Anolis sagrei: one gene and its partners. The protein of the gene in region 2 purifies or fractionates together with the protein of the main gene of each other region. This does not show direct contact. Links are inferred from orthologs where the notes say so. Each region holds a gene or a part of one and is shown on either strand. Other genes may lie near its edges. The genes, in order: NHP2, NAF1 and NOP10.

What was found.
Region 1: the proteins of NAF1 (region 2) and NHP2 purify together in Homo sapiens (affinity purification with western blotting; 3 studies listed by BioGRID and IntAct, with this or other methods). This does not show direct contact. The link is inferred for Anolis sagrei from reciprocal best matches to the Homo sapiens genes NAF1 and NHP2.
Region 3: the proteins of NAF1 (region 2) and NOP10 purify together in Homo sapiens (co-immunoprecipitation; 6 studies listed by BioGRID and IntAct, with this or other methods). This does not show direct contact. The link is inferred for Anolis sagrei from reciprocal best matches to the Homo sapiens genes NAF1 and NOP10.

The regions. Positions count from the first base shown.
Region 1 is NC_090022.1:76,372,429-76,376,178, reverse strand, and holds the start of NHP2 (H/ACA ribonucleoprotein complex subunit 2), read right to left. Parts: upstream 2,167-3,750; 5' UTR 2,083-2,166; coding exon 1,914-2,082; intron 1,571-1,913; coding exon 1,501-1,570; intron 1-1,500. Other genes in the region: BRD8 (bromodomain-containing protein 8), read left to right, coding at 2,280-2,298. UniProt on the Homo sapiens protein: Required for ribosome biogenesis and telomere maintenance. Part of the H/ACA small nucleolar ribonucleoprotein (H/ACA snoRNP) complex, which catalyzes pseudouridylation of rRNA.
Region 2 is NC_090025.1:55,967,531-55,971,280, forward strand, and holds the start of NAF1 (H/ACA ribonucleoprotein complex non-core subunit NAF1), read right to left. Parts: upstream 2,907-3,750; 5' UTR 2,841-2,906; coding exon 2,359-2,840; intron 1-2,358. UniProt on the Homo sapiens protein: RNA-binding protein required for the maturation of box H/ACA snoRNPs complex and ribosome biogenesis.
Region 3 is NC_090026.1:13,101,621-13,105,370, forward strand, and holds the start of NOP10 (H/ACA ribonucleoprotein complex subunit 3), read right to left. Parts: upstream 2,621-3,750; 5' UTR 2,516-2,620; coding exon 2,462-2,515; intron 1-2,461. UniProt on the Homo sapiens protein: Required for ribosome biogenesis and telomere maintenance. Part of the H/ACA small nucleolar ribonucleoprotein (H/ACA snoRNP) complex, which catalyzes pseudouridylation of rRNA.

The DNA of each region.
Region 1 (3,750 bases), on a different chromosome or scaffold from region 2:
CATAATATAAAGTTGCAATACTGTTGATAGTTGTAAGCCTCCTCAATCTCAGCAGAATTTCTGAGTAAATTCTGCTCTCTGCAGCTGCTTTACAAACCAATTCTCTGCTACCTAATTTTTAAATATTTGTAGTGTGGTCAGTATTCACATAAATTGGATTCGACTTAAGAGACTCGTACTCTCACACAGACAGAATGTGAGAAATAAAAAAGGCAAATAGGTCAGTGTGAGGCACTGAGGTTAACATTATGCAGATCCAAATGAAAACAATGCTGCTGTTATATGACTTCTGGCTTCATCATGGCTTCATCATCATTGTGGCCTCCTAAAGTTTGCATTTTTGACACATGGGCACATTTTAGTTTCCCACATGACACAGAAATACAAGGTGTTTCTAAAAGAAGGACGTGATCTGAAATGGCTATCTCTCTGCAACCACAAACCACTCATAAATGAAACTTACCCTTTGGAAGGATGAGGCATAGAACTTCAAAGAATTACAAACAGCCTTTAGCCTCAGTCATTTGCAAGATGGTGACCCACATAAGGACTAATGAGATATTTTCCATTTGAGGAGTTAATTTTTAGGTTTGTTTCTGGCTCAAAATAGTAAAAATGATAACTCATTAAACCATTTGTAACTTTTTGTGTAACTATAAGATGTTACCATGGTGAAATACACTGCTTTCAAACTGTGTCCATCATTTTGAAACACCCTGTAATTCACTCATAACAATCAGGAACACTACAAAGAGAGGACTTAGTTCCAAGATCTGCAGCGGATGACTGAACTGAAGTCAGCCATACTGTGTCAAACTTGACACAGGAAACTCTGAGGGAAGCAAATCATTCAAGGAACAATATCGCAGATTCCTGCATAGGCAGAATACCTACTGATACCCAAAATGGTGGTTTGTGGGCTGGTGCAGGTCAGTAATCTACTGGCCGCTGGTGCATGTTGTTTCCAAGAAGGAAATACTGTAGTTATAGTTAATGAGCACAAGTGTGCTTATCTCTGGCTTTCTGGGGAGCAGGGGGGCAGTTGTCCCCCATATTAGATAGCTTAAGAAGCACTAAAAAAGACAAATGCTCTAAAGGAATTAAGCGCGAGGCACCTGTGATCATTCCAATATTAATTTAATTACTTCATTTTTATACTGCCTTTCCCCTGGTATGAGAATTAAAGGCAGCTAACTGCAAACATGACATTACACCTGGGACAAGAAATAGTTTATGCTTAGTGAAATGGAATTTGCTCCGTCAGAGGGGCGGAGTCTTTTTCCCTCAGAGGGGTGGAATCTTTTTAAGCAGAGGCTGGATGGCCATCCGACAAGTGCTTTGTTTGGATGTTTCTGCATGGACTAGATGGCCCTTGGGGTTTCTTCCAACCCCATGGCTGTGTTACTTTCTTTTCTGGCAAAGGAGGGGCTGGCATCTGTGAGTAGCGCACCGGGTGGTCCTTGGGGAGTCTTCTATCGCAAATCATGTTAAGATTCTTACCCCTTCTCGCCTTTGTTAATGAACTTCTGGACCTCTTTCACTCCACGCCGAATCTGTTTTACCTTCGATGCTGCAAGTAGAAGGGGAGAGAGAATATGTATGTGGGAAGCCACCAACCCAGCAAGGAGGCTTGAAAGGGAGCCCTCTGAAGACCCCCATCCCCTCTCTCCAGGAGTGCTGCCCCTAAAACCTCCCCTTTTCCCAAAGGTGCACCTACACTGCAGAGTTAATGCAGTTTGACCTAGGCCAGGCATGGGCAAACTTGGGCCCTCCAGATGTTTTGGACTTCAACTCCTACAATTCCTAACAGCCTCAGGCCCTTTCCTTTTCACCCTCAGCCGCTTAAGCTGAGGACCCAAGTTTGCCCATGCCTGAGTACAGTAGATGCAGGCCCAACCCCTTCCTTCCTGCACCTTTCTTGATGCACTTGTAGAGCTTCCGCGTGAGCTTGCGGGAGGCCAGGGGCCGCGCGATGGCGTTGACGTTCTCCACCAGCTCGTGGTAGGAGCGCTCCGGGGTGGCCTCAGTCTCCGGCGCCGCCTGCTCCTCCTCGGCCTCCTGGCGCTTGCTGGCCCGGCCCATGCCTGCTTCTCCGCCGGGAAGGAGCCACGCGCCTCTCCCGCACTGTCGCGCTTCCGGCTCAGACCAAACACGTGCCGGGAAGGGAAAGCAAGGCGTCGGCCAATAAGAACGCGGCTTTGAGGAGGAAGCACCGCCCACCGCTCTATGGCATAGCTCGCGGCCCCTTTCCCGGCACGCACCGGGCGTGCGTCGGAAAGATGGCCGCCGGGACGGGTAGTGAGTGGGGGTCTGTCTTTTGAGGAGAGGGTGGAGGAAGGAAATAAGGCGAGCGGGCGGCGGGTGACAGGGTGCCTGCGTTTTTTTAACAGCTTCCATAAAATTACCAGGTCTTGGGTTGCTGTAAGTTTTTCGGGCTGTATGGCCATGTTGCAGAAGCATTCTCTCCTGACGTTTCGCCTGCCTCTATGGCAGGCATCCTCAGAGGTTGTGAGAGGCGAAACGTCAGGAGTGAATGATTCTGGGACATGGGCATACAGCCCGAAAAACTTACAGCGACCCATGATTCCGGCCATGAAACCCTTCGACAACACATTTACCAGGCTTCCCCCCCCCCCCCCCCCTTTCCTCCATGTAGGGAAAAACATATCTTCTTATTTATTTCGTGTCGCTTCTGCAAGCCCCTTCTGGTGGATTGGCTGTCTGCAAAGATGATGCCCTGATGTTTTGATGTTTCGCAATCCTTGTGGGAGGCTTCTCTCATGTCCCTGCATGGGGAGCTGGAGCTGACAGGGGTAGCTCATCCGCGCTCTCCTCGGATTCAAACCTTCAGCCCTGCCGGCACAAGGGTTCAACCCTTTGCACCACTGAGGGCTCCTCAAGTTGCTCCTGACACAGAAAAAAATGTGTCAAAAGAATTGCATAAATAAATTATAAAACTGATAAAATAGAGGGAACACAACCAGCTAAATAATTTTTGGCCAAAAAAGGGCAACAGCGACCACATTGTGTTGTCAAAGGCTTTCATGGCTAGAATCGCTGGTTTGCTGTGAGTTTTCCAGGCTGTATGGTCATGTTCCAGAAGCATTCTGACGTTTTGCACACATCTATGGCAGGCATCCTCAGAGGTTGTAAGGTCTGTTCGAAACTAGGCAAGTGGGATTTATGTGGAACTCTTGTCTGCTTGAGGCAGGTGTAAATGTTGTAATTGGCTACCTTAATTCACATTTTAATTTCCTTGCAGCTTGAGAGTCTGGCTTTGGAATGGCCAGCCTCCCACTCTGGACATGCCATAAGTATATAAACTCCACTTGCCTAGTTTCCAACAGACCTCACAACCTCTGAGGATGCCTGCCATAAATGTGGGTGAAACATCAGGAGAGAATGCATCTGGAACATGGCCATATAGGCCAAAAAACTCACAGCAACCCAGCATTGTCTAGCTTTAAACAGTTCTTTCTCTGTGCATGAAGCAGGGCATTGTGGGCACACATACAGCTGCAGAGTCTTTTGTTCTGCTCCGCAGTCGCAGATTCTTCCACCTTGTGCGACTGACAACCATTTTGCCAGGTTGTCTTTTGATCTGCACAGTCCACTTCTGAGTCTGTTTAGGGACTTCCAAGTTGCTCATTTTTGGTTTGCCCCTGGAGGAAGACCTTCATGGGGGGCTATCCAATTGGAATTTCCTGGTTTAGCTGCCCAGAGGGGATTCCCTTGCTATTGCTGGGGGGG
Region 2 (3,750 bases):
ACTAAATAGAACAAAGTGAGCCTTTCAGATATTACTGTAGAACAACTCCCATCAGCTTTAGTCATGATGGCAAATGAGAAATATAGGAGTTGGAGTTCAGCATCTGAAGGGCCCATAAAATGACATAGTGGGCCAGATTCCACCAGTGGGCCTTGGGTTTGACATATGTGTTGCAAGATTAAAGATCTGGAGATCATGCCCTACAAGAAGCGTCTTAAAGAGCTAGCCATGTTTAGCTTGCAGAAGGTTGCAAGGAGACATGATAGTCAAGAATAAATATGTGAAAGGATGTCGTAAGGAAGAGGGAGCAAGCTTATTCTCTGCTGCACTGGAAACCCGGACTCTGAGAAATGTGTGCAAATTGAAGGAAAGGAGATTCCACCTGAACATTAGGAAGAAGTTCCTGACCGTACGAGGTAGTCAACAGTGGAACACTCTGCCTTAGAGTGTGGTGGAAGTTAATTCTTTGGAGCAGGCATGGGCAAACTTTGGCCCTCCAGGAATTTTTGACTCCAACTTCCAGAATTTCTAACAGACTACCGGCTCCCATACTGAGACAGCTCCACTGACTGCCGGTCCCCTTCTGGGCTAAATACAAGGTGCTGGTCCTTACCTACAAAGTCTTGAATGGTTTTGTCCAATTGCATCCCCTTATAGAGACCATACCGTGCACTGTGGTCAGCAGAGGAGGTCCTGCTCTTAGTCCCACCTGTCTCAAGCATGGCTGGTGGGAATGAGAGGGGGGACCTTCTCCATGATTGCTCCCCATCTCTGGGAAAAAAATCTCCACCCTCCTCTCCTTTAAGAAACTTTTGAAAACGCACTTTAGCATATGGAGAGGAGGAGGACTAACCATTGGAACACTGACAATCCAATTTGCACTATATGATGGCTATGCTACATTTTAATAAATACCTGTGTTAACCATTTCATATGCAACTCATGTCTGTTTTTAATTATATGTTTAATGTTCACACACCCTAAGTTATTGTCTAATTGATTTATCCCCCATCTCAATGTTTTATTTTTTCATTGTAAGTTCATTGCTATTAAAGGTAAAAGTTTCCCCTAGACATTAAGTCCAGACATGTCTGACTCTGGGGGTTGGTGCTCATCTCCATTTCTAAGCCGATGAGCAGTGTTGTTCACACACACCTCCAAGGTCATCACCATCATCATCTTTAATTACTTATTAATCGCCCTCCATCCGAGATGCTCCAGGCGATTTACATAAGGAATTATACAGGATAAAACACATACATACAAATATTAAAATTAACATGGGTCAAATGCTCTAGTAAAAAGCCAGGTCTTAAGTGCAAGGATAAAATGCCCTAAGTCATGCATGGCTCTCAAATAGGGAGGCAAGGAATTCCGTAAGGCAGAGGTAGCAATAGAAAAGGCCCTGAGTCTGGTGCTTTCCAAGTGCACTTCCCTAAAGGTAAAGGTAGTCCCCTGACCTTAAGTCCAGTCATGTCTGACTCTGGGGTGTGGTGCTCATCTCCATTTCTAAGCTGAAGAGCCAGCGTTGTCCGTAGACACTCCAAGGTCATGTGGCCAGCATGACTGCATGGAGCGCTGTTACCTTCCCGCCGGAGCGGTACCTATTGATCTACTCACATTTGCATGTTTTCGAACTGCTAGGTTGGCAGAAGCTAGGGCTCACAGCGGAAGCTCACGCCGCTCCCCGGAATCGAACCTGCGACCTTTTGATCAACAAGCTCAGCAGCTCAGTACTTTAACCCACTGAGCCACCGGGGGCTCCAGGACCCGGTAAATAGAGCAAATCGTGTTGGGATGGTCGTGGCGACCTCAGATTACGGTAGGAGAGATGGCATGACTGCATGGAGCACCATTACCTTCTTGCCAGAGTGGTACCGATTAATCTACTCACATTTTCATGTTTCCATACTGCTGGGGCTAACAGCGGAAACTCATGCCACTCCCCGGATTCAAACCTGCGAACTTTCAATCAGCAAGTTCACAGCTCAGCAGTTTAACCCACTGCACCACCCGGGGCTATTGCTACTATTCTGTATTATTCCTGATGATGTTTGTTACTTAGTAAGGTATTGAATGTTTGCCTATTTTTGTGCTGAAAACCGCCCCGAGTCCCTTTTGGGAGAGGTGCAGTTTAGAAATAAAGTTTATTATTGAGGGTTTTGAAACAGAGGATGGATGGCCATCTGCTAGGAGTGCTTGGATCGTGTATTCCTATTTGGAGTTGGCCTGGATGACCCTTGTGGTCTCTATGATTCTATGACACGAGTGATAAATCTGTTTTGAGATCTACATGAAACCAATGCTTATTTGGCAGCCGGGAAAGGGAAAGAGTCCTTTCATGGGGAAACTACCCACCTTTCGGATTCGGAAGAAGAGCTGCCACTGATTTCCATGACTGTGGCCTCCTTTCCTTCGCGATCCGACCCGCCATTCACATCCAGAGGAGGCTGAGAGGGGCTCCTAGGGTCTGGGGCCTCTCCTTCGGGGCCAGGAACCGGCTCCGCTCCATCTCCGAGGCCAACCTTTCTCTCCGTCTCCTCGCAGCGAGGGGAAGAGGGGCCCATTCCGAGCGGAGGCCCCCCCTCTTCCATTGCGGCGCCCTCCAGGGCCTCCAGACCCCCTCCATCAACGGAAGCGCCGGCACTCTCAGGAAGGCCCTGCGGGGCGGAGGGAACCTCTATGGGGCCGCATTCCGGCTGAGGAGCGGCCTTTTCCCCTTCCCCAGCGGCTCCCTCAGCGGCCACGCTCAGCTCGCTCAGCTGCTCCGCCACCTTGAAGGTACCACCAGCCTCGGAGGCCTGCTCCTTCTTCTTGTCCTCCTCCTCCGCCTCCTCCATGCTGCACGAGAGCCGCTCACCACAGCAACACGCGCGCCGTGCTGACGTCACGTCCGGCCCAAGTGCTTTTCGAATGGCACGGCGCTCGCCGGTGGGAGGCTTCCCCTTAGGGCGCATGCGCCTCTATCACATCTCCCTTTGCTTTCCTTCCTCCCCATTGAAGTATCACAGAAGACTCTCAGGGTCCATTCACACAGCTATATAAGCCAGGCTCCTTCTGCACAGCTAAATAAAACCCCACATTTTCTGCCTTGAACTGGGATATATAGCAGTGTGAACACAGATAAACCCAGTTCAAAACAGATATTGTGAGTTCTTCTGCCTGGATATTCTGGGTTATATGGCCCTGTGGAAGGAGCCCCTAGAACAGTGGTTCTCAACCTTCCTAATGGCGTGACCCCTTAATACAGTCCCCCATGTTGTGGTGACCCCCAACCATAATATTGTTTTCATTGCTACTTCATAACAGTCATTTTACTACTGTTATAAATCATAATGTAAATATCTGATATGCAGGATGCATTTTCATTCACTGGACCAAACTGGGCACAAATACCCAATACACCCAAATGTGAATGCTAGTGGGCTTGGGCGAGGATTGATTTTGTAATTTGGGAGTTGTAGTTGCTAGGATTTATAGTTCACTTACAATCAAAGAGCATTCCGAACTCCACCAGTGATGGATTTGAACCAAACTTGGCTCCCATGACCAATGGAAAACACTGGAAGGGTTTGATGGCCATTGACCTTGAGTTTGGGAGTTGTAGTTCACCTATATCCAGAGAACACTGTGGACTCATGCAATGGTGGATCTGGACCAAACTTGGCATGAATACTCAATATGCCCAAATGTGAACACTGGTGGAGTCCGGGGAAAATAGATCTTTACATTTGGGAGTTGTAGTTGCAG
Region 3 (3,750 bases), on a different chromosome or scaffold from region 2:
CTGCTGGAAGCTCCACAAATATTTATTGCACTGTGTATATTGCAAAGCTCTTTGTTATAATCATTGTACTCTGTGCATCAATTTCCCTCTATTTCAGCAATAAAGTGTGATAGTAACTTTATTGTGTTTTTATTGGTGCATAACCGACAGCTGGCACAGTGGGTTAAACCGTTGAGCTGCTGAACTTGCTGATTAAAAGGACGCCGGTTTGAGCAGGGTGAGCTCCTGCTGTTAGCCCTAGCTTCTGCCTATCTAGCAGTTGAAAACATGCAAATGTGAGTAGATCAATTGGTACCTGGGTATCACAACTAGATACAGTGAAGACATCTGCCCTTGTGCTTTGCTATTCTGTTGCTGAGTATGCATGCCCAGTGTGGAACACATCTCACCATTGGATGCGGCTCTTAATGAGACATGCTCATTATCATGGGGTGTCTGCTCCTTACACCACTGGAGAAATTACACTGTGTAGCCGGTATTGCACCACCTGACATCCGTCGGGGAGTAGCAACCAATAGTGAAAGGACTAAGGCAGTGACATCTCCGGTCCACCCCCTGTTTGGGTATCAGCCAGCATGCCAATGACTTAAATAAAGAAATAGTTTTCTAAGATCTGCAGAAACACTTGCTGGAACACCTCAGCAAGCGAGAGTCCAAAAGCGGCAGGCTCAAACCCAGAGCCTCAATCAATGTCTGGTACCAAATGAGAGACTCCCCCCTGGGCACACAGAAAACTGGGCGACTTGGAAGGTGCTGATCAGACTGCGCTCTGGCACCATGAGATGCAGAGCCAACCTTAAGAAATGGGGCCACAAAGTGGACTCCACCACATGCGAGTGTGTAGAAGAGCAAACCACAGACCACCTACTGCAATGCAACCTGAGCCCTGCCACATGCACAATGGAGGACCTTCCTCCAGCAACACCAGAGGTCAGCTACTGATCAAAGGACATTTAAACAACTACCAAGCTTGCAAACTTTGTGTTTTGTTTGTTTGTTTTTAATGCAATACAACTGTTTTGGTTCATTCCTGACACGATAAATATAAATAAATAAATAGGTACCACTTCTGCGGGAAGGTAACAGCACTCCATGCAGTCATTCCGGCCACATGACCTTGGGGTGTGGTGCTCATCTCCACACCCCTATGTCTATGGACAATGCCGGCTCTTCGGCTTAGAAATTGAGATGAGCACCAACCCTCAGAGTTGGACACAACTGGATTTAATGTCAGGGGAAAACTTTTACCTTAACTGACAGCTGAACCATCTGAACTATTTATTTACAGACTTCATGCAAACTTGGAACCCAGGACGTACTACACAAGGCAAGCCATTGTGTTTTTATAGATGAACCTGGGAATTATCTGATCTTTGAAACATCGGAACTATTCAATTACGGCGCTGAATTGGTGTAAGCCTGCCATTGCTACAGACTCAATGGACTCGTTTAAACCTGTCCACTCATTGGCTTGGAGGATCCTAGAAGTAAAGTAAATCACAGAATCATAGAATCAAAGAGTTGGAAGAGACCTCATGGGCCATCCAGTCCAACCCCCTGCCAAGAAGCAGGAATATTGCATTAAAATCACCCCTGACAGATGGCCATCCAGCCTCTCTTTAAAAGCTTCCAAAAAAGGAGCCTCCAACATGCTCCGGGGCAGAGAGTTCCACTGCTGAACGGCTCTCACAGTCAGGAATGTTTAGCCATGAGAGAATTTGCCATAGAAGACAGTCCCAACAATGAGGCATTCTGATGGTTTCCCTATAGCTATGGATTTCGTTTGCCTTTAAGATTTACTCCAAGTTGTCCTTCCACATTTGTGGATTTGATAATTTACTGATTTAATTAAAATCTCTAGGTGTCCTTCCACACAGCTATATAACCCAGAATATCAAGGCAGATGATACACAATATTGGCTTTAAACGGGGTTATCAGAGTCCACGCTGCCATATAATCCAGTTCAATATGGATTTTATACAGCTGTGTTGGTGTGACTCAAGGTTAAATTATACTGGAAATTACCATATGCAAAATGGCAAATAATAAGCTTTGTTTTCTGGATATTTTGCAATATTTTCAAGCTGTGAAAGGCTGAATCCTTGGATGCAAAATTTGTGGATATGGAGGGCTGACTGTGGTATAATGATATAGAACTGGCATAGGCAAACTTGGGCCCTCCAGGTGTTTTGGACTTCAACTCCCACAATTCCTAGCAGCCTATCGGCTGCTAGGAATTGTGGGAGTTGAAGTCCAAAACACCTGGAGGGCCCAAGTTTGCCCATGCTTGGGAGTCTTAGTTTAGTGAGACAACAGCACTCTTTGGCATAGAAGTCTAACAACTCCAACTCCTAGCATTGAGCCATAGCAGTTAAAGTGGTATCAAACTGCATTAATTCCACAGTGCAGATGCACCCAGAATCAAACATTCACACACCCCCAGGGATGTAAAACCCTTACCTTGAGGGTATAAACCCTGTCCCCTCGCTCATCCAAGTAGAATTGCAGGAACATAGCTGCAAAATCCGGAGCAAACGATTCTTATCAACAGGATTCGGATTCCAAACCGATTTCCCTTTCCCTTCTCTTCCTGCAAAACACGTGCAAACAAACTCCACCTCTTCCTCCCATCCTCCAATGAACAGGCACAAAAGAAAACTTCCCTGAGCATTCTGGGAGCTGTAGTCTTTCGCCTTTCTTGCCCAATGCCTGCTGGGATTTGTAGTTTTCCTACTGTAAACATGCACTCGTGCAAAAGGAATCTGTTTCTCTACCTGTTGAAAGGATCATCTTTCTGTCTTTCATCTAGCATTCCTTTTATTCTCCCATCATCTAATCCTTTCAACAGTTTTTAAATAAGTTTTCCAATTGTTTTGGAAATAATGTAGGAGGGTTGAATGAAAAGTAATGCCTCCACCTTCGTTGCTTGGCTCCTATGAGGAGCGGCTTAAGGAGCTGGGCATGTTTAGCCTGAAGAAGAGAAGGCTGAGAGGAGATATGATAGCCATGTATAAATATGTGAGAGGAAGCCACAGGGAGGAGGGAGCAAGCTTGTTTTCTGCTGCCCTGGAGACTAGGACAAGAAACAATGGCTTCAAACTACAAGAGAGGAGATTCCATCTGAACATGAGGAAGAACTTCCTGACTGTGAGAGCCGTTCAGCAGTGGAACTCTCTGCCCCGGAGTGTGGTGGAGGCTCCTTCTTTGGAAGCTTTTAAACAGAGGCTGGATGGCCATCTGTCAGGGGTGATTTGAATGCAATATTCCTGCTTCTTGGCAGGGGTTGGACTGGATGGCCCATGAGGTCTCTTCCAACTCTTTGATTCTATCATTCTATGAAACGCATAAATAATCCTTAGAATGTGCTCTTTAACTACCACTATTCACTTTTCCACAGAATCACCAGACCATTGGATACATTTCTGCCAACGATGGACAAGTTTTCTGACACTGTCACGGAAGAAGTCGACACTCGTTTCCGCAACCAGCATCTCACACTTCTCTCATCCCGGTACCCATCATGCACAGATCTTCCGATAGCCAAGCAAAGCAATAATGTGATCCACACGGTCTAGTGAAATGGCGATTATGCTTGAAATTTCTCTCTGAGTGATACGGCGATCGTCCTGAATCAATCTCAACCTTTTGCTTGTGAAACTCGGTGGTTGCTGTCACAGGACGTCCAACTCTTTGTCACGCAAGTCAGATGTTCCCACCTCAACATCTTTGAACTTACTTGCCCAATGATG